4 linked regions of the Drosophila melanogaster genome follow. Changing the gene in region 2 together with the main gene of any one other region gives a genetic interaction. Each region holds a gene or a part of one and is shown on either strand. Other genes may lie near its edges. The genes, in order: lace, iPLA2-VIA, CG3740 and pbl.

What was found.
Region 1: of iPLA2-VIA (region 2) and lace, changing one suppresses a phenotype caused by changing the other (phenotypic suppression), as found in Drosophila melanogaster (one study listed by BioGRID).
Region 3: of iPLA2-VIA (region 2) and CG3740, changing one suppresses a phenotype caused by changing the other (phenotypic suppression), as found in Drosophila melanogaster (one study listed by BioGRID).
Region 4: of iPLA2-VIA (region 2) and pbl, changing one suppresses a phenotype caused by changing the other (phenotypic suppression), as found in Drosophila melanogaster (one study listed by BioGRID).

What each region holds. Positions count from the first base shown.
Region 1 is NT_033779.5:15,497,516-15,505,129, reverse strand, and holds lace (lace), read right to left. Parts: upstream 6,004-7,614; 5' UTR 5,910-6,003; coding exon 5,706-5,909; intron 3,014-5,705; coding exon 1,904-3,013; intron 1,840-1,903; coding exon 1,577-1,839; intron 1,432-1,576; coding exon 1,215-1,431; 3' UTR 112-1,214; downstream 1-111.
Region 2 is NT_037436.4:9,859,679-9,866,178, forward strand, and holds iPLA2-VIA (calcium-independent phospholipase A2 VIA), read right to left. Parts: upstream 4,672-6,500; 5' UTR 4,525-4,671; coding exon of another isoform or gene 4,515-4,524; exon of another isoform or gene 4,422-4,514; 5' UTR 4,139-4,421; coding exon 4,099-4,138; intron 3,939-4,098; coding exon 3,643-3,938; intron 3,585-3,642; coding exon 3,285-3,584; intron 3,231-3,284; coding exon 2,413-3,230; intron 2,358-2,412; coding exon 1,717-2,357; intron 1,658-1,716; coding exon 1,322-1,657; intron 1,260-1,321; coding exon 1,027-1,259; 3' UTR 539-1,026; downstream 1-538. Other genes in the region: Ciz1 zinc finger protein, read left to right, coding at 5,421-5,720.
Region 3 is NC_004354.4:1,667,906-1,671,217, forward strand, and holds CG3740 (uncharacterized protein), read right to left. Parts: upstream 1,393-3,312; 5' UTR 1,105-1,392; coding exon 903-1,104; intron 884-902; exon of another isoform or gene 840-883; coding exon 619-839; 3' UTR 501-618; downstream 1-500. Other genes in the region: dor (deep orange), read left to right, coding at 1-465; hfw (halfway), read left to right, coding at 2,015-2,032, 2,911-3,312.
Region 4 is NT_037436.4:7,908,909-7,913,628, forward strand, and holds the start of pbl (pebble), read right to left. Parts: upstream 3,047-4,720; 5' UTR 2,551-3,046; coding exon 2,514-2,550; intron 431-2,513; coding exon of another isoform or gene 253-430; intron 1-252. Other genes in the region: CG8281 (uncharacterized protein), read left to right, coding at 3,699-4,720.

The sequences.
Region 1 (7,614 bases), on a different chromosome or scaffold from region 2:
TCGAACTGTCAATTGATTGCTATTCCTATTACATAAACTTAAATTAACTTGACCCCTTGCAAATGGAGTTTATGTATTTTAAATTAAAGAAAGGAGGCAGTGCAACCAAAATGATACTGAAACAAATTTTATTTATTTTACTTCCAAATCGTCTAAAATAACATATTATCAATATCGATTTAATTGATATCGCTAATCTCTAATTATCGCTTAAAAGTCAGGCATTTACTTAATTAAAAATGGTTCAAGAAGTAGCTTTATTTAATTAATGGCCACTGTACTTCTTATTTTCTCAAAAATAAGAACTAAGGCCCTAGACTTAGCGGATTCTCTACATATGTGTTTTATATTTGCGTCGAGTATCCAACTTCTGTAAATTAACTGTAGAGGTCGCATAAGTTGTGTCAAAATTTATGTAAAATACAAGGCAAAACATTTTTCGACTTTAAGATTCATCTGCCCGCCAAGTTTTATATATTTTAAATAAATATTTACACTAGTAGACTTAAGAATCCCGTACAGTGAATACTTTTACAGTAAGCTATTCCAATATAGTTTATTAGATAAAGCAACAATTTCTTTATTTTTTTGGTGGAAAAATAAGATCAATAATACATAATTATTATACATATATATTTCCTGACAATGCCCTAAAGTTGACCCAATTTTTGGGTCCCCCGAAGACTTACCCAAATAGTGATTTACAATTGTATCGCTGACTCTTTAGACGTTACATTTGGCTCAGCTTAGTATGCTTAATTGGTAGAAGCGAGGTGCTCGAGGCTTTCCCACGAAAAAGGGGCTTCCCTTAGCTTAGCTATAAAAGTAACCAAACCCTGATTTGCCCAATACATTGCGCTGTCATTTTCTCTTCTATAAATACTTAAAATGCAGCAGCCGACCAAAGAAGACGATTGGATTTTACATATACAATAACAACTACGTAGAGGTAAATGCTAAATAATTAATAATATTTTATCATTTAAGCTATGTGCTGTAGTGTTTTGTTTCTGTTGCTGTAGTGATCTTCCCTTTTAAGGCATATAACCAGAGAATTAGTCATAAATAGAAGCCCAGTGCAACTGAAACTTGGTCAATGTAAGCCACCGTTCGTGATTGATTTAGCACTATCTGGACTGTGTTGTAGTTTTGGTTTACCAATCGGGGAGGTTACCATTTCCCCAAGCTTAACTTCTATGTGTGTGCGTGTGATTCTAGTAAATGACGGGATTCGGATCGCGTGGCTTGCGAGAATACTTTAGGCCCAGATCATCGGCAATCTCGTCTATCGCCTCCAGGGCAAAGTCCAGCTGCTCCTTGGTGTGGGCGGCTGAAAGGCAGAATCGGATGCGTCCTTCCATGATGGGTGTGGCCGGGAATCCAGCTCCCACCGCGGCAATGTGGCGAGTCGTCAAGGTGCGAACCACAGCGCTACAAAGAGAAAATGCAGTTTAGTAAAAAGAGACTCCACAGGATAATTGAAGTTTTTTCCCGTTTGATCTTTTAAAAAATGAAATGCTCCTCCACGCACAATCTAATGACAAAAGTTATTTTGGTTTTATGACCCCATTCTTACCCAATCTTGGAAAACAGGTACACCAGCATGGGCACGACTGGGGAGTCCTCGTGACCGTATGTGATCACTCCCAGCTGAGCCAGACGTCGGCGGAAGTAACGTGTGTTCCTGGCCAGCTGGTGGATCTTCTTGCGTCCAATGTCAGTGCCATCTTCACCCATAATGGTCTTCATGGAGGTAAGGATTTGCTGTGCGATGGGTGGCGAGATCGAAGCAGCATAACAATGGGCGTGGCTGTTGGTGCGGAGAAAGTCAATCAGTTTCTGGGGAGGATAAAAGATTATTGATAAGTGAGGAATATGCGAAAGTGTAGCCACTCAAGCATACCTTGGATCCAGCGAGATAGCCTCCAGCACTGCCAAAACTTTTGGTGAAGGTGCCCATCAGAATGTCCACCTCCTTCGGATCCACATTAAAATAATCTGTAACTCCTCGTCCACGGGAACCCATGGCTCCCACGCTGTGAGCTTCATCCAAATACAAGTATGCTTTGTATTTCTTTTTCAGAGCAATAACCTCGGGCAAACGGACTATGGACCCCTCCATGCTGAAGATGCCCTCGACCAAGATCATAACCTTGTCCCATGGCTGACCACCTTTTTTGGGATTTCCATAGCACACACCCTGACGGAGGACGCGCTCCAGATCGCGCATGTTGTTGTGCTTAAAGACCTTGGTGGTGGCCCCGGACAAACGCAGTCCCAAAATGATGGAGGCGTGATTCTTTTCGTCACTAATCACAAGACTGTTGGGTCCCAGCAGTGAGGGAAGGTTCAACGCATTTGTGGCGAAACCCATTCCAAAGACAATGGCATCCTCCACGCCAAAGTATCTGGCAGTTAGAGCCTCCAGCTCTTGCAGCTGCTCGTTGTCACCAAGCTCACAACGGGAGCTGCAGTATGCCAGTCCAGAGCTCCGAGCACTTTCCTCTGAATCATCAGCACACTGTCCAGTAGCGGCGGCAAATCCCAGGTAATTGTAGGATCCCAGATTTAAGCAACGTGTCTCCGTTCCAGTGAACTTGAAACTCCATCCATAATCATCGGTTACGCGATCCTTTAGAGTGAGTTCGTCTCCCGGAACACTGCAGATGGGTCGGTTCCAGCAATCCTTGATTCTCCTGTAAACGTACCTCGAGTAGAAGCTTTCGAAGGCATCGTAGAGGGCTACATAGCCATCCCGACCCTTCTCGGTGGCCACTTTGGGCACGAAGAGCAACTGGTTGATGTAGCCCAGGATCATCAGTAGATAGAATCCCAAATACGTAAGGCAGGCCGTGTGCAAAGGCACCTCCTCAAAGGAGGTTTTCTGGAAGTGCTCCAGCTCCGGCGAAAGTTTGCCCTCTGCCTGGTTGGGCTTGGACTCCTGATCCAGAATGGAGGCATGCCCATTGGGGATCGACTTCTTTTCCGGATGGTAGTTGATCGAGCTGGGACTCTGTAAGAGGGGAGAGGAACGATTATTGGCTGGTTATCGCTATCATTGGTATCACTGTGAATCTTCATAATTTCCATTGAAAATCACTCATCAAAGAGCAAATAATCAATATTGTTAGACGGGCTAGATGGGAAATTGTAAGACAGATTGTAAACATGTTCGCTTCAAAGGGATCAGCACAGTAATACCCATTTATACGAGTATGTATATCAAAACTTATAGTTCTCATGCGTAAACGCTTTTATAAAAAAATGAAAAATTCTACATTCTCACTTGCTTGCCCTTTCTATGCGTTCAGTCAATTCATCAGTCAATTAACATTTAACTAAAAGATCCATATATGCAAGGTACGTATGTACATATATAAATACAATCACACGATAACTGCTGAACAATTTGCTCCACCGCTCACATGAGCCGAGTTCGACATGAAGTCACACAAAAAGAGACAGACACAAAAATCATACAGGGGAAGCCATAAATGTATATAGTATTTGTGTGCCCAACTTGGCACACTTCAACCTCACCAGCTAACAAATAGAGCGTTATAATTAACGTACTTATTTAAGTGTATATATCATTTGCTTATTGATTTTGCTGGCCAAAGGATCCGATACGAGACATATATATATCTCATTAACTGAGCAACACAAACTGCAGATATATATTCCGAAAAATATATATAGTTGAACGTCAGCTTAATCGTATAACAATAACGAGTCGGCGACAATAATATTTCGTGTTTATTATCATTTGCCACCGGGCTTGTTTACTAAATACGATGAGACGGAGTGCGGGGAGCGAAAAGTCAAGTGGGTTACGCGATGCCTAGTTATTTAATGGAGTCCCAGTGTTAGGGTATATAGACGAGCTCGAAGCTACCGTAGAAAGATCAAAATCGAAACCGACATAAATAAATAAATAGAAAAAGTGTAATACTAATTACGCTATGGGTCGCGTACAGAAGGACAGCTAAGTAGGGAGCATGGTGTGGGATCCAGATAATGACTTCCATATGTTGGGGATCCATGGAGTCCAAGATAACGACTGACAATCGACCAGCGCACGCCAAGTTCTAACCGATTTTGTGGGGATTCCAAGAAGTATTAGCTGTGAGTCAGTAGATAATTGCTTTGGCAATTTCATATTCTTAAGTATTTCTTTTTTATTTAAGCCTTTACCTTTGAAATCATGCATACTGTAATCTTGCCGAGCTGATAAAAGTTTTCTATCCGTTGATATTGGAGATATGAGACTTGCACGCGCTAACATTATTTTCGTGTGATTAAAAATTTGAAAAGGTCTTTAGTTGCCATTAAATCAAGCTGAATGATTTCAATAAGTTGTCGCCATGGTACGGAACTATTTCATTAAATAAATTTTATGTAAACCATTGTATTACTTTCCGAAAAAAAGAAATACAAAGCTACCAATAATGAAATCTTTAGGTACTTAAAAGAAAACTAACAATTGCTCACTCCCCAAAGATCGAATTGTATCGGAATTACCCAATGAATGTAATGTTATAATATGTTTATCTTATCTTTTTAAAAAGTTATGAATAATAAAAAATATGATAATCGGTTAAGTATACCCGCCAACAGTTATTCTTTGGCAGCCCAGACGCAGGGAGAGTCCATGAATTTTAAAACAAAACTCTTATCACCGACAAATCAACGCCCACCCAAAACCGCTGCCTTCGGAGATTGCGGAGCATTGTGATTCACCAGCGAATCGCATTCTGCGAGGCTTTACGTAAAAGACTGGTGGAATGGGCCTGATAAGGCGAGCCGGGCATGGCGTGGCATGACAATATTATGACCAGACCAGCATTGTGCCGCTCTCCCCACACACATTGTGCACCCAAACTACGTACTTATGTGTGTGTTTGCTTTGGGGTCGTACTCCAGTCACTAGGAAAATTTCGAATGAGTGCAGGAGTGCCGAAGAAGAGACAATGGCTAGATTAGAGAGTGCATGTGGTAAAATGGACTAGCGTACCAAACAGTTTAACGCACATCTAAAATAGGTATTATGAAATTTCTGAAATCTAAGTTACTTTAACATGCTGATGTTCTTATCTTAGGGCTTAGTCAATTGTAAGATAGCTATCTCAGAGGAATGTATAGACTACTTAAAATTATAATAATGAAAGTGAAATAATATTGCCCAATACTTTAATTTCCAACACTACAAATTGCCTTTCATGATCACAATTTATGAAATAACTCTCTGATCGTATATGATGATAGGATATTTCCGCAGAGTTCTAATAGTTTCTATCATCCGGAAGTAGCCAAAATACGCCAAATGGTCAGCACTCGCGGCGAAAAGGAAAACACGCGAGGAAAACACTGCAGTGGAGGGAAAACAGCTGTGGCTGCCCGATGACCCAGAAGCGGGAAAAGCGGAGGAAAATCGCCAAAAAGGGCAGCAAAAATTGGGCCGAAATTCTCCAGCTGACGCACGCCTTCACTCTCACTCTCTCTCCCTCTCTCTTATGCGCGCTCCCTCGCTCTCACACAAAATCAATAATTCGCCGGCTGGAAGAGCGAGCGAGAGGGTGAATGGAACCAGCTATGGAACCACATTTTTGGCCAATTTTTATGGCCTTTTAGCTCGTTATTTTCGTTTCGTCCAAGTGTTTAACTCGCGTTTCACCCCGCACACTGAGCGAAAATGCCTGGCTCACCTGGGCGTCGTTTGCGGGCTTCGGCTGGCAGCGTCGCGTGCGAATTTCAGTGTACGCGGGTGCCGAGAACTTCCGGAGAAGTTCCTGTTTTTCCGGGGCACTGAGATCTGCCGCCCCATTGCCATTCGGCACCTTTCCGTTTCCGTTGGTCGTCGCATAGCTCTGCTCGAAAACCGTTCCAGAATCGCCGTCGAAATTGCCCATTATTCCGTTGCCGATTTCCGATTACTCAGCGGACAAAAAATTACGGAGAGATCGATGCGTTTTGCTTAAATAGGTTTCTTTCTAATTGGAATGGTGTGGCCAGTTACTCGGCCAGCTGTTATACTGAAAACTGCGCGCCTTCGGTATTTTAAGGTACTTATCGTATTTTCACATATAATTTAAAAGGCCACATTTTGTGGAATAACGCTTCCGGTTGTGTTCTCTGCTTTTAGTACTGCCAGCTCCTAGCGAATACCTCCACCATGCAAGCAGTTCAAGCCACAGTGCTGTTTAGTATACTTTCTGAGCGCCAGATGTCGCAAAAGAGAAGTAGATTTTTGTATTAATTAGATTTTCAAAGAAATTTATTTAAACTAAAATGGTTTCTATTTTAGTCACATAGGGGTTCAACTTAAATTATTTGACAGCAATTTAATGAAAATATATAAATTTATATATGATACGAGGGTTCAACAATGTATCATTTAAGTGGGAGATAAGCTAAAAAAAATAATGTTTTATATTCCATTACATATTAGAAACCACAAGTTTTCAGACTTAACACGTCAAGCATTTTCCCCTTGAGCATTAAAATCGGTCCAAAACTTACGCAAAGAAAAATTCCGCCTCGCCGGCAATAATAAATTAGATTAAAATGCACAAAGAAAAGGAGGAAAACAGAATTTCAGGCAACAGATATTCAGATAAAAGTGCGTAAAGCGGCAATTGTAGTAAAATTCATGAGCTGCGAAGTGCGTTGACTCTTTGCCGCAAGGAGACACGTCTCGGGCAGTGGATTTCGCCTCATAAATAGATCATCTCCATACCGCAGGCTTTTGTTTTTCTTCACATTTTATTGCGGAAGAATTTCGACTATTTTGTAAATTAATCTGCTGTGGCCGGCCGATGACACTTTTCAAGGATTTTCAGAGCCCATTTCAAAATCAAAACATTGAACTCGCATTTCAGTTTCGTTTTCAGTATGCGCCGCATCCCAACTGTGGGTAAACAACATGAAAACGACGCTAAGGCTTCTAATTGAGTTGGAAGCTTTTGTGGCAGATGTAGCCTCTGCAAAATGCCAACACGTTCCCCGGCAAAAGCTGCACCGATCGCTACATCGATATGCAAATGATTGCCAAATTGTCGTAGCCGGAGATGCCAAAAATTTGAAACCCAATCTGAGTCCAAGTCACCAAAGTGGGTGCTACTGTCAGGGCTGAAGCCCTTTGAGCCGCAGGCCCAGAAAGCGGGTCACGTCGGGTTTTCATCCAGCGATTGCCGATCGACGCCAGCGGCACCCTGAAGGCAAAAGTTTCCGCCGATGCCAGAGGGAAAATCACATACCCTTTTCGAGAAGGTTTCATTTATTTCTCAAAGCACTTAATCAAGGATGAGGATATTCTAAAATATAGCATATATTATTACTTGGTCTATTTTAGTAACATGTAAATATTGTATAATAAATTAAATAGGATTTTTATATTCCACTTGACAATCTCATGACATTGAAAGTATATAATGTAAAGTTGAAAATTTCATGAATTTGTTGACTTCGATCATTATTACTTATTTCTATATTTTGCACTTCTATGCCAAGTTAATCCCTAAAACGGAGAAAAATGCATTGTATCTCAAAGCTAGCCAATTTCTGTCAAAGATTCTTAATGCTTATCTCGATGATCTGATGGTGCAAATCGCTTTT
Region 2 (6,500 bases):
GGTGTGACCCTGCCGTCCCTGAGCGTATTAATCTTGATCTGCAATGGTTTATCTTCATCTATTGCGTTCGTAGTCCTCGTTTTAAAACACTTTGACTCACTTTGTTATGGATTTTTATGTGTTGGGACGCAGAGCAAAAATTCTTGGCTCGTCTGTATTGTTTGTATTTGTTTTGGCCTATCGATACATACATATGTCTAGTGTGCTAGCTATCGATTGGAAGAATGGAACTTCTGGCGAGGACACTATCGCGATTAGCCAGCCCTGGTAGGCTAAATATTTAAACATAAAAATATTTTAAAAAACAATTATAACATTTTTTAACATCCAGTATTGTAGTCTTAAAAAAATATTTTAATGTTTTCAGCTTTTCATTTCTCTGCCATGAAGTTAAATTTAGTATTCAACAACTAAACCCATTAAGTAATTAAACCAATTAATCTTATAACCTGCAATCTCAAGATCTATAATTTAATGTATGTTAGCTTCTGGACCAGTACTACAACTATTTTAATGGGAATTCATTAAAAACAGGTTTAAACACTTAAAAAGTTTTATTCAAAATTCGTGCTCGACATACTACATACACATTCATTTTCTAACAGAGGCACGGAATGTTTTTATCAATTAAACGACTCAATTGGAGGGTTACGTACAATAAAATACATGGCCGATTATAATACATTAAATAAAAGATTTTCGAAATTAATGTGCTGATATGGTACCCTCTTAAGTCCAATAACACAATATACAAAGCGTATTTCGTTTGCTAATCCTGGAGATGAAGCCTCGGAATTGGAAAAATTAAGGATAATCACACAGATTCTGTTTTGTAGCCAAGTGGTGGGAGGATATCGGTGCTATTGAGAGTGGAAGTCCCAGCGAGTGAGCTGATTTAGACCTCAGAAAAGGTGCTTAATAAAAACGAAGAGGGTTAAACGAGTCTAAAGTACACGGACATGAATCGAAAGGATCCCTCGAATGAGAGATCTCTACAGCAAATGCGGTCTAAATCCGTCTTGCATGCTATTTTAGGAAATTGATCATCTCGATTATCTTATTCCGATTGGCGTGCATATACGCCTTAGTGTGCCACAGCATATTGATCAGTTTTTGGTCGTCCTTTTCGTCCATGGCGATGTCCTCGCTCAGCTGAGGATTGAACCTGAAGTAGGGTATGCCAATCGTGCTGCACCAGGCGCGAGCTCTGTCCACTACTCTTCCATCGGAGCAGGTGGCCTGGTCCACTAGCAGATTGCCTAGCAAGGATATGCATTTGATTAAGAAAGCACACGAGTATATTATAGATAAGGTGCCTTACCAATGGTAGAGATTCCGTAGGCCAGTTTGGCCGTATCCCAGATGCTCTCCGGCCGGAAGACATCAATGTCCTTAAGTTCAGTCACCGGAATATGACCCGTGCCCAGCGACATCACCACGGATACAGGTATGGCCTCTGATTCGCGTCCAGCGCTACGCAAGGCCATATTGTACTCGTGAATCTCGGTCATGGCGTCTAGAGTCGGGTTGTTGGCAATCAAGCCGCCGTCCAGAAAGCGACCAAATGCGCGGAAATATGAGGGCGCAGCTCCAGTAGCCCGAGCAGCACGCCATACCAATTGTTCCGAAGGCTGAGGAGGAGGAATTCTTCGGTTGTCTAAAAGATTAAAATAAAATTAGAGAGCTATCTCGATAATTGGTTGATATCTCACTTACTAATTGGAGTCACAATGCCCAAAATGTCACTGGCGCTCGTATAGTTGCGGAATAGATGTAGATCGACCGGCTTGCGATCCGCCATCACACCAGTGACCATGATCTTCGGGTGCTTAATATCCGTCATCACGTTAAACTCGCCCAGATTGTCCTTCAAAATGGACTCGAAAAACTCGCTGTTATAGGGCCGTGAGCCCACAAAACACTGCTCCTTCATGCGCAAATAGAGGCCCATGCATTGACGCATCGTTTTGCCGCAACCCAGCGCCAAAGCTAGAATTCCGCCAGTACTGGTGCCGGCAATCCAGTCGAACATATGGATAATAGGAGTGCGAGAAAGCTTTTCTATTTCGAGTAGCATCTGTACCAGGACTAGACCACGAATGCCACCACCATCCAAGCAGAGCAGACGTCCGCGTCCGTAGGGTTTATCGCCTATTTCAGCGGCAATGGGCGAGGTGGGTGAAGGCAGCTGCTCCGGACTAGACACAGCGGATTTTTGCGAGCCACTGGCCAAACTATCCGACGAGTTCTCCTTCTTCATCTCGTCCGCATTCACTTTGGTTGTAAACATGCCAAGCAGGGCATCCATTATACTTTGGCCTTTTAATTCTTTCTCCGTATCGACCACGACTGGTTTTCTGGAATAAGAGAAGACTATTTTAATTGTAGTTCACGAATAGTTGATTTACATACTGTGCCGGTTGTTGCTTCTCCAATATTCCATTGGCCGCTGCGTTCAAAAAACCACCCATCATTTGTCGACTGGTGGTGGCCAGCATGTGCTCTATATGCTCGCGCTGCTCCACGGATTCCGGTGCCTCTGGCGGAATGCCGTTGTAGTTACCTTTGGCATTGCAACCAGGCGGGCACTTTGAACCAGTATCCTTGCAGCGCTTAGCCCCCACAGAGTGCAGAATGTATAGGATTTCATCATCCTTATTGCCACTAGCATCATTGCCAACCATGTGACGTGGCGTTTTGCCATCCTTGTTCTTCAGATTGATGTCACACCCAAAGACCACCAGACATTGGACGATCGGCACTAGTTTCTTCTCAATGGCAATGTGCAAAGCTGCATTTCCGTCTTTGTCCAGCACATCGATCTCCGCATCGTGGGCCAGTAGTGTGACAACGCACTCGAACCGATTCCTGGCCACCATCACGTGCAGTGCTGTCCGTCCATCAAAGTTCGTGGCGTTGACATCACAACCCTCCATGATCAGCGCATGCAGGGTTTCACGGGAGGAACACCAGTGCAGAGGAGTGCCGCCATATTTCATGTCCTGTGTGTACAGCTTGCTAACATTGGTGCGCAGAAACGAGGAAACCGTGGTCGGTGCGGATGTCTTGTACACTTTGCGGATGTCCTTGGCATTGAGATTGACATTGGCCCCAGCCAGCAACAGTGCCTTCACATTCTCTGGCTTGTCGGCGAGGCAGGCGACATGAAGTGGTGTGTACCCATCGGAGTTGAGATGATTCAGATTTACCGTGCTTTTATCGATGATAAGCTGGGAAAATAAAGTTTAAAATTTGTTTGAACTATATATGGATTTCTGGCTTACATTGATAATCTCTTTGGTGGTGCTGGCGGCGTAATGAAACACCGAATTGCTGTTTATATCCAAGTGTTCCAGCTTGCTCAGCGGCAGCAGAGCCTTCACCATCTCCATGTGACCCTGTTTGATGGCCAACTGGAAGGGCGACATTAGGGTGGCGGCATCTGCTTGGTCCACGCACTGGAGCATCTTGGGATTGCTAATGTAGTCCACCAGATTGAAGTAGGCAATCAAATGGGACAGCGTCCAGGAGGGATTATCAGCCAAGGCATCGCAAGCTTTCTGCAGCCCATTTACATTGTAGTACTGAAAAATATAGAGTTAAATACATTGCTTCGCATTGCTTTGTAGTCCTCTCTCAAACCTCTTTCACAATGCTGACGAAAACGGGCAGCCTTTGCAGAAAGGCATTGAAGCGTTCCTCGGCTTCCTGCTGCACCGGCGACCGGTACAGACTGAAGGATGTGGTATTGGAATCCGAGGTGGGTCGCTGCAAAATGATCTCATAGACGGCTCGTTTTTCATTGCTGCTGTTGAAGGGCGGTGCAAAGAGGAGCATGGCGTCATCGCGGGCCAGGACTTGAAGTGTCCCCAGCGCTTCGCTCTTAATTTCCACGACCTTATTGGCCGGCTGATCGACACCCAGCAGGCGCTGTAGAACTGTAGTCGTACAAAATTGAAAGGCAATGTCATTAGATAAGGCGAATGCGTTGGTCATAAGACACATTAATACATTCTCAACTAGTCTACTAAACGGTGACACGACATGAACATGAACAGGAGGAGGAAGAGCAGTAATGATTGAAAGGGGGGTGAATACCGAAACCGGAGGCTAGTGCCCCTAACGCCATCCACGCCATGACTCAAGGGTGCGGAATTTGCTGCTGCGGATGCTGAATGTGTACTTTGAACTGGGCCAATCTGATCGGATGAGCTGGCTAATGTGGATGCGGTGAGCCTGACAGAAAAACAATGGCCAGTTGGTTAGTTACACGGGTGTGGGTGAGGATGAGCGAGTGGTTCGATGGGCTGCCAAGAAATCAATAGTACACATCTTTGGCCAATGGGAAGGGAACAGATCATCCGATGGCTCTACATTGCAGTAATGCTGCCCGTTTTTTCGTGCCTTCCCGCTATCCGTTGCTGCCCGACGTAATCAATGGTGACAATCATAAAATGCTTATTGTTCTGTGGGTCAGTTTGCGATTTTTTTTATTGGCAACAGTATTAGCTAACCATTGAACATTTTACTGCTCTGATTTCAGGTTTCCTTATCGCACAATTCCAGTATAAAACAATTTAAAATTTCTGCTATGTAAAATAAGAACTGAGCTGTATTTTTTGCAGCTTTATTAGCGATGTCACCGTTTATCAGTGATGGTACTGCATCAAACGATATTTCTAGACTTTCTAGTCGAGTTCAAACCCCCAATGGTAGGGGCTTGCAAATAAATGATACAAATTCGATTTCATTAAAGAAATGTTGTTTAAGAAATTAAATTAAATTTACATAGTTTTCGAGAATATTTGAAGAAAGCAAAGAAATTTTCTTTTATTTCGTTATTATGTTATTATGTTATTAATAATGTTATTTCAGCTAAATAGCATTGCCACATTGTTGACAATCGATATAGCCAAGTCTTAACAATCGATTTTAAGCACTGATTCCACAGAGCACGGTCACACTTCACTTTGTTCGCCATTGCTAGACAAAAAATTGTTTCGAGCGAAAAAAGTAGCTGATAGAAAAGGTGAAAATCAGAAGTTAAACGTTCAGTTAAAACTGAAAAACAGACAGAAAAGCAGTGCTTCATTGTGCCCATTAGTGAATAGTGTTAGAGCAGAGGTAAGTGGCTTAGATCAATTTGCAGTAAAATCGCAAAAAAATTCTCGGGCCGGCAGAAAATCGATTCTTTTTTTCTCAAACCGAGCGACGCCACCGGCGGCGCAGAGATAATCCATGAAAAGAAAAAAAAACTTAAGGGGTGCTGCGCTGAACGCTCAGTCTGTCCTTATGTATATTTTGCACGCATTTGTGCATACATGTATATAGTCTGCCATGCGGATCGAATTTTGTAATCTTTTCAACGCAACCTTACAGTATTTCCTTGTGCTGCAAACAGGAAGAGATTGGAATTAAAGATGCGTGGACGCGGCGGATTCATTCCACGTGGTGGTGGCACCACTCGCGGTGGCTACTACAATAATCGCAATTCCAGCAACTACGTTAATACTCGCACCCAGGGCAATTACCGACCCAATAATGGCCGCTACGAGAATAACTATCACAACAACAACAATCGCTACAACAACCACAACAACAGCGGCGGAGGAGCAGGAGGCAACAGCCACTACGACAACAGGAGTCGGGACAAGTTCACTCACCACAACTCGAGCAGCGGGCGCTACGAGTCCAGCTCCTCGAGCCACAAGCGCAGCTATGTAAGTTGGAGCACTTCGCACTAACCTATAAGTAACCATTTGTGAGTAATTACTACGATAGCTTCAGAAATATGCCCAGATTTGTTCTGCATTCTAATTAATTTCAATTTGGATTATAATGACAGGGTAGAAATTGAAATTATAATAGTTAGACCACCTTGACATTGGTTTTTCTACATTGTGTATCTGAAAATAGAGGGATATCGCTTATAACACGTACATATATTGATACGATTTTTTTGCAATGCTGATCATTCAGCCTCTTATTATCTCCCAAAGGAGATAAGAAACTGTAGGTAATATTTGGATGCGAAAAGATTTTTGGCACTATATGTAAATAAGACGAATACCAATGCATGTGAAAAATCAGAGATAAGAACCTTTTACAATCAACTTTTGTAATTGATAATAACAGACATTCTGGTCAAGCTAGTAAACACTTATTGGATGACTACTTATCTTTCCTAATTATACATCTGACAGAAAGAGAGATTATATCGAATTGACGTCTTTTCCACATGCAAAGCAAATGAAAAACTATTCAATATATATATATAAATATATTATATTCAACCTTAAAAGTATATATTCTACGAACAGGTGCGTACTTATAAACGGCACACTTATTTCTGTGGAAAAAATAGATAAGAATGATTATAGTATTTGAAATATACGTTTGATGTTAATTTAATATTTTTCAGTGGCAAATACGCTTGAGTATATTTGGCGGTCTTTTTTTTGTTTTCTTTTACCTTTTACCTCTTTGATCAATTGTTACAT
Region 3 (3,312 bases), on a different chromosome or scaffold from region 2:
CAGGAGCTGCAGCGTGAAATGGCCGAGACTACGGAGCAAACCGATCGCGTCACCGCCGAGTTGCAGCAATTGCGCCAGCACAGCCTCACCGTTGAGTCTCAGGATACTTGCGAAATTTGCGAGATGATGCTGCTGGTTAAGCCCTTTTTCATCTTCATCTGCGGCCACAAGTTCCACAGCGATTGCCTGGAGAAGCACGTTGTGCCCTTGCTCACCAAGGAGCAATGTCGGCGCCTCGGCACTCTAAAGCAGCAACTGGAGGCGGAGGTGCAAACGCAGGCGCAACCGCAGTCAGGTGCCCTGAGCAAACAGCAGGCGATGGAGCTGCAGCGGAAGAGGGCGGCACTGAAAACCGAGATCGAGGATATTCTTGCTGCGGATTGCCTATTCTGCGGGCTGCTAATCAGCACCATCGACCAGCCGTTCGTTGACGACTGGGAGCAGGTGAATGTCGAGTGGGAGTAGTTCGCTACCACCGTCGTTCAGACCCAAATATTTATGTACATATAAAGTATTTATTATTATAAATAAACCTACACTGATCACAAAGGTTTCGACTGAGATAGCCGTCCAAATTCTACAGTTACCTGGCCATCGCCCACTTGCCCGCAGAGCAGGTCAGTCCACAATCTGCATGCGCAACTCGTTGGTCACGAATGACATGACAGTGTTAAGCACAGCCTGCTGAATGGAGGCGTTCTGGACAATCAGCGGCAGCAGCATCACCACGTCGGTGGGATGTATGTCGGCCACGGCCATGGTTACGTGCTGCACCAGCTGCTCTCGCTGTGCGTCCGTCAGGTCGTTTAGGATGACTTCGCCCAGCGGACGGAATGTGCCTGTTCGGGAGGAGGGAAGTGGAAATGTAGTGAGACTGAGTACGGGAGTTCTCCTCCGCTTACCGCTTGTCATCTTGTAGGCGGCGATTCCGCCGGCGGCCCCGCCAACCGCCAGCCCAACGGGGCCCAGGAGCATGCCACCCGCAAAGGAGCAGGCGGCGCAGATTGCCGCTCCCTTGCCGGACTGCTTGACGGCGACGCGGACGTTGCGCTCGTCCGCTACGATGGCTATCGCCTCCATCAACTCGCGCGTATCTATGGGCATATTTAGGCTACGTGGAGTTGGCCCGAATTTCGCAACGCTATGCTAGTATTTCCTGTTTAGACTTTGTTCCGTGCGGCAGTATGACGTTTCCGATTACGCCACCCGTTCCGTTTGTATCCTGCCTTTTAGTGTTGGTCTTGAATTCTCCAACTTGCTACTCGACAACATAAACAATTTCACGGAATCCGCTTGAAGGGAACTATTAAAAAGCTTATATTTGACTTAAAAAACAGCAACTTGATTAAACTTGTGAGCGCCAGATTCAGAGATGCGCAAACGGCGGTCACAATCGACGTTTATATCGATATATGGCCTTAACCCTTATGTGTTAACCCATTCCTGTTATGGGTCATACATTAAATTTCTTATATTAATCCTATAGGTTATTACTGTCCTGTTGCTAAGTTAAAGATGAACAATAAATTAAATATATATGTGTTTATTATATAAATTGATTCAACGGATTACGTTTGCCAACTATCGAATCGCAGTGCAAACGATGTCACTGTATCGATAAGTCGATTGCCCGCGGCGAACAGAGCATTTAACATCAGACTTAACAGCGAGTGCTCTGCTGCGCTGCGCGCACTTAACATTTGCATTTTGTTTTGTTCGTAGTTTATCAATTCGAGTCGAGATACTTTTGTGTTTCACCTACGTATCACACCCGACCGATTCTTCCCATGCACGGATCTGTGGCAGATCACCTGGCGGACCGAACGAGCCTGCAGAACCGCCCAGAAAGTAGCTCCTCTCCGCTGGGACTGGGATGTGCGCAAAGCATTTAAATTGTGAACACTTCCGTATGATTGCGATTCCTCGGATGTGGATGACCGCTCCGTTCCCGCGCCACCTAGTCGAGGAGTAAACCTGCCAGGGAGCACCTAGTGGAATTCATTTCGGAGGCGACATGCTCGCGTACACCCACGTAAGTCCAATGCGCATGCAGCTCTGCTAGTGTATGGGTGTACCTGTAGCAGGAGGGGTAGGGGTATGGACATGGGCATGCCGATACTGATATTGTGTTTATAATCTCGAAAGCACTCTAAATTGCTCCGAGGGAGGGGTGCTGCTAGTGAGGTTATACTACCCATGGCTCTATATTTTATACCACACCCAGTTATTATACTCATACAGCATAGGTATTTCTCATATTGTAGTTGTGAAAAGAAGCGCATTTGCCTTGAAATCAGAGGCCATCTTTAGTTAATCCTCGTATCCTCACACGCTATGGAACATTTAAGCCAAAAAGGAAATGTTTTCCATACCAAACCTATTATTGGCCTATGGTAATACCAAACTGTTATGCTGTTTTGACCAGCCAAAGATCTGGAAATAGCCCCCTTCCACTTCCACTCCATGCCGAAGCCGACAATTTGCCACCAACCGACACCGACCCGCCCACAATTGCTGCCTAACACAATTAATCTTTTTATTGCCCTTTTATCACATACGATTCGTTAATTAATTGCCGAATTAGCATGGCAGTGTTGTTGGCAGTTGGCCCGCAAGACGCTAAATCGAGTGGGCAAACAATTAGAAACCAGTTGGATACCGAAGACCCTCCCGACTCCCAGAGCCGCAGGCCCAGCAACTTATGCGTACAGGGTGTGCCTCACTTACCCTAATTACGGCAATTGGAGGACGAGCCAGGCCAAGCCCTCGTCGGTCTAATTCGATTTGCAAACAAACGCGTCTGGTGTAGCAAATATTTGCATATGTATGTCCAACGTGCGACACGGCGTTTTTCCCATTTCCCCACTCGATTCGCTTTAACGCGCCCTTTGATTGTCGTTGTCGTTGCAGGGCACATGGCTCCTGCTCCTGCTGCTCCTTGTAGCAGGCGCATGCGCGCGGCCAGAAATAGCACACACACCGGATCCGGCTGCACTAGGCGAGGAGTCTACTCCACATGCACACGCACATCCACAGGCTCGCCATCATCACCATGCCCATCCCCATGCGCCGCTGAAGGAAGATGAGCAGGGAACAGCAATACCTGCTCCCATCCTAACAACTGATAACGTGGGCATTGGGGAAACCACGACGGCATCAAGTTTGGCCGAGACGCAAAGCATGTCCGATCCGGGATCTGTGACAGACACAACATCCACAAGCACATCGCACTCCACCTCGACCACGTCGACCACTTCGCCCGCACCCCTTCCGCCGGCTGCTCCCGAACAGCCCGAGTATCTGAAGCACTGC
Region 4 (4,720 bases), 2.0 Mb from region 2:
TATCACCTTAACATGACATCGAATGCTTTCCTCGGAAAGTAATATATTTATTTATGAAATACATAGTTATTTTTACTGTTCCTGCACCTTTCCCAGGTGTTTGTCGATGGTCTGGCTGAATGGATGGATGATTCACGAAAGACTTTACCCTACTTAAGTTTCCCTCTGGCGAATATGTTGCTCTTGCTTTTGCGCATATTCAACCCTTGGAAACGAGTACCTGAAGGGGTTTATCTGGGAATCTTGAAATACCTGTAAAATCCTCGTACACCTGACACAAGGCGGCCTGTCGAAGCTTCGCCTGTTTGACCTCCTCGTCGGCGGCATATGTGAAATAGGAGGCGGATTGTCGCTGAACCGTGACCACTTTGTTGCTCTTTTTGCCCAAATGGTTGCCAAAGTTGAACTGCACCAGCGGTAAGTGTAACATTTTGTTCGCAGATCCTCAAGGATCGGGCTCTAAAACATAACTAAATGCAAGACGAGCTCAGGCTGAGGGAACACCTGAAATCGCATTTTGCATGGCCACAGGTGGTAGCTTCTTCGGTTCAAACAAGAAGAAGAAGGTATGTAAGTGAGGTCAGGAGAAAAGGTAAACGCAAAATGGTAAGCAAAATTTCCGAGTGTGAGAAAGTGCCGAGACTCACAGGTGGCGGCCACCATTTTTCGCCATTCGGGAATTTCCTTCCTTTTTGCCCGAACAAAATCCGCTGTTGTTATTTATTTTCTACTTTTCCTCGCTGGCTGCCTGCCAGGGAAACGATGAAAAACTAATTGAGTGGCATCTGAGAAATGAAAAGCCATCGGAAGAAGAGGGCTGTGTGTGTGGGTTTCTGGGCATTCAGCCACGCAGCGAAAAATGTCCTATGCGAAATCATAGTTAACCCAAAATGACAATTTTTGATTTTTACTTAAATTCTCGTGTCTATTGCTTTTGACCTAGACCTAAAAGCATTTTTAAGTGACAATGAAATCCAAAAATAAAATATTTTATGTAAAAAAATTGTGTTTTAAACGAAAGACGTTTTGTAATTTTGGAATAATATTTAGAAAATTACTTTAAATCTCTAGAAAAAAAAACCTCAGTTTACCTGCAAGTTTAAATTATACATAAAATCAACCAATTTCTCGCTGTGTAGCGGATTTTGTCAAATAGCAGAGCAGAGTCATCAAAGAAAAATCTTGTAATAAAATTACGTACGTATCCCGCGGAAGCCTTGACGTAGGCGAAGAGCAGATTCCGAAGGTCTGCGGGCCATGTAAAATGCCATTAGCATTGAGGGACGGAAAACACGGACTACAGGCTATATAGTCATAGTTGTATGGGCATGTGCGCCCTGTCAACATGTGTAAATGGAATACGAGGTAATCGGCCAGCGGGGTAGGTAAACCACCCGGAAAGCAAGGATCAAGGATTCTGTGCAACAAGAGGAGGAAGTAGAAGGAGCGAAGAGCCTGTCGAGCAGGATAAATTCTTCTTCTTACCTGGCGGCAAGTATTAGAGCGGAGCAGACAGAATAAGTACACAAAGATATCATGTAGAGTTGATTTCAAAAGTATCTACATACATATGCACATTTAAAGGCTAAATAACATCAAAGGAGAATTGATTTTATAACCTAACCAAATTATAAACTTTTAATTGATATATGCTTTATTTGCGCCTCAAATTCGGACACAAAATACATTAAATGATAATTTTATTTGTTTATGCCGCGCGCTGGAAAAATTCCTGCCGTACAACATATTTACACGTATTTTTTAAGGCAATAACCTTTGAAATTGTGTGGTATTTGCAGTTACACGTTCTCGTTGCGGAAATCGTAGGCTTATGGAAAGTATAACAATTTTAATTGCCTAGAAACAATTTTGTTTTTAGTTAAATAAAAATGTTAAAAATATAATAAAAACTTTATAGCAGAGATTTCTCTTTCCCATCAATACCTAAATCTATCTTTTGTTAATTGTTTACTTTTTTAAGATTCGATAGTTTCTTGTTTACTTTCTTTTATAGCTACAACTCCATGGCTAAAAACGGCTGAATTCGCATCAATGATAACAGGAACTGATCGCTTAAATTGTTGTTGCTTGTCCTTTCTTTTTACTCTCACAACAGTTAGGGCGCCTCAGTTGTTGTTGTTGTTCTTGCTGTCGGTACAGTGTCGCCGAAGAGAGGGAGAGTGAGGGGAAACGATGATGAAGAGAGGGAGGCATTTCGCATTTATGCGATAAATATTTTCTACACCGAAATAAATTCAGAAAAAAAGATTAAAATATCTGCGACACGATGCCGTTGCTTTTTTAGTCACACAAATACACACAAAGATGTACTTATAGTCGTTGTTATTTCATTTTATTTTTTTGCATTTGCTGGCAGCGACATTTTTTATGAGGATCTTTTGGCCCCGAATGTGGTTTTACCCCGTACCCAACCCCTTTGGGCGACATTGAAAAATGATAAATTCGCCGGCCATTTGGAGCTGCCACGCCCCGCGCCCTCTTTCAGTACTCACCGCACTTCGATTGCTCTTCAATGGTCTCCATTTCCATGGATCTTCTGCAGTTACTTTTTTAAGGCGAACAACTCGTGGAACATACACAAAAACACACACCAACAGAACTCGAAACACAATAGAACGAACGCACAAGGAGACAAATAATTCGTTTGTACTCGATTCGTTTACTTTCATTAACTGGACGCTGTTTTCATGCATTTAGCGCGCATCATTTCCATGTTTGTTTGTTTTTCTACTTTTTGTTACAATTTATTTATTATTTAATTAAAAAGCGGCGGCTCACGAAAACACACACACACAGACGCGCATAGGCAGCGTCGCCCGGTTCTTCGTCCTCTTGTTAGCGATACCGCGTACCTGCTTTAGCAATTTAACCAACAAAATGATCAACAATGTAAGCGAATTGCGCTCAACGGCTGCGCGTCGGAATCACAAATCAAAACTCAACGGACAAACGCGTCTGTTTCGAATTTTTTTCGCTGTAGTGTGCCGCGCAGTGTAACCGTCGCGGGGGCGCCAAGAAATACGCGCAAATGTGATGAACGAAATACCAGAATCAATCGGCGCTAAATAATGGTCACACTTGCAAGGGGTTGAAGGTATTCCCTGTAATGCTATATAACTAAATTAAACGACTATGGCTATAAAATAGTTGTAAGCTGCACTATATTAACAATCAATTAGAACTGTTTTCTTCGTTTAAGTTGTTTTTGGCCTGTCGATAAATTAAATTTGGTAATATCCTACTATTGTTGCAGTTGTAGCCTCCAATCATATTTTTCATGCAAGCTATATAAGCTACAGTTAATTTTATGTATGCTTGCTCATATATTTAATAAATGAATGCCTAAAACTACTTGCTTTTGTGCTACTTTGTTTAAATATACGCGCTTGATAACAACGAGTTGACCGATAAATACTGCTGGCGAAGTATCGATACCAGTGACAAGCATTGCCACTACGTCCGCACTTGTTGCTGTATCTTCACGCTCACGCACACTCGCACACAACCATTACGTCAATATGGCAAACAATCTGTCAAACGCGCAATTACAACAAACACAGTTCGTTCGCATTGACAGTTGGTCAATAGGTCCATCCAGGATTCGCTGAAGTGGTGAAGATAGCCAAGGACTGCAGCTGGCGTGGATTGGCAGAGGGTAATCCAGAGATCCGCGCAAAATGCTGCCACAAACGCCGCCGCACGGATTGAAGGTGATGTCGGGAGCGGAGGAGAACCGACACTATCTGCGCGCCTTCATCCAGACATACAGGGATCTGCCCGTGCTGTGGGACACATCGCTGCGGGACTACACCAATCGGGAGAAGCGGGCGGAGGCCTATTTGCGCCTGGTGCCCATATACCATTATCTCAAGCGGGACGCCACCGTGGAGGATGTGAAAAAGAAGATCAACACACTGCGCACGAACTACCGCAAGGAGCTGAAGGTGGTGGAGAGTGCCCTGCGATCGGGCAGCCTCCACAGTCCACGCTGCTGGACCTTTCAGGAGCTGGACTTTCTGCGCAACTCGGAGAAGTTTCTAGCCGTCAATCCCGCCTTTAAGAACGAGCCCAACTTCGCCTTCGGTGAGAGCAGCAATTGCCCGAGTGCGTTTCTGGAGAGCCAGGGAGCAGCCCTCCATTATCCAGCACCACGCGCTGGTGGTCAGACGCCCAACATTTCCGAGATGTTTCACAAATCATTTGGAGCTCCGCCACCGCCACCGCCAGCAACCAACCATGTGGATTATGGGAGCAGCAAGCGAGCCAGGCAAACGCCGCCATGTACGGGAGCAGGAGCCGGATCTACTGGCGGTCCTGGGGCAACAGGCACCGCCCACAACACCGACGAACTACTCAACATAGCCTGCGAGTATTTGGCTGGCACATATCCGGAGGAGGAGTCCATCGCCCGCACCTGGACGCACAAACTGAAGCGACTGCCGCGCGAGCAGCGTCTTCTGGCCGAACGTTTCATCAACGAGATTCTCTTCGAGGCCGAGTCCAACAATCTGCATCGCGGATCTGTGCAAATCAACAACAGCTTCGAACCCTACGTTCGCTACGAAGAAACGCCAAATGGTCACGAGGAGCAGGACAAATCACAGAGCCCCAGTGTGCACACCTCCAGCGAATCCAAGCCCAATGTGTCGGGAGCGAGCGGAAGCGGGGGAGGAGGTGGGCCACCGGGCAGCACCACCAC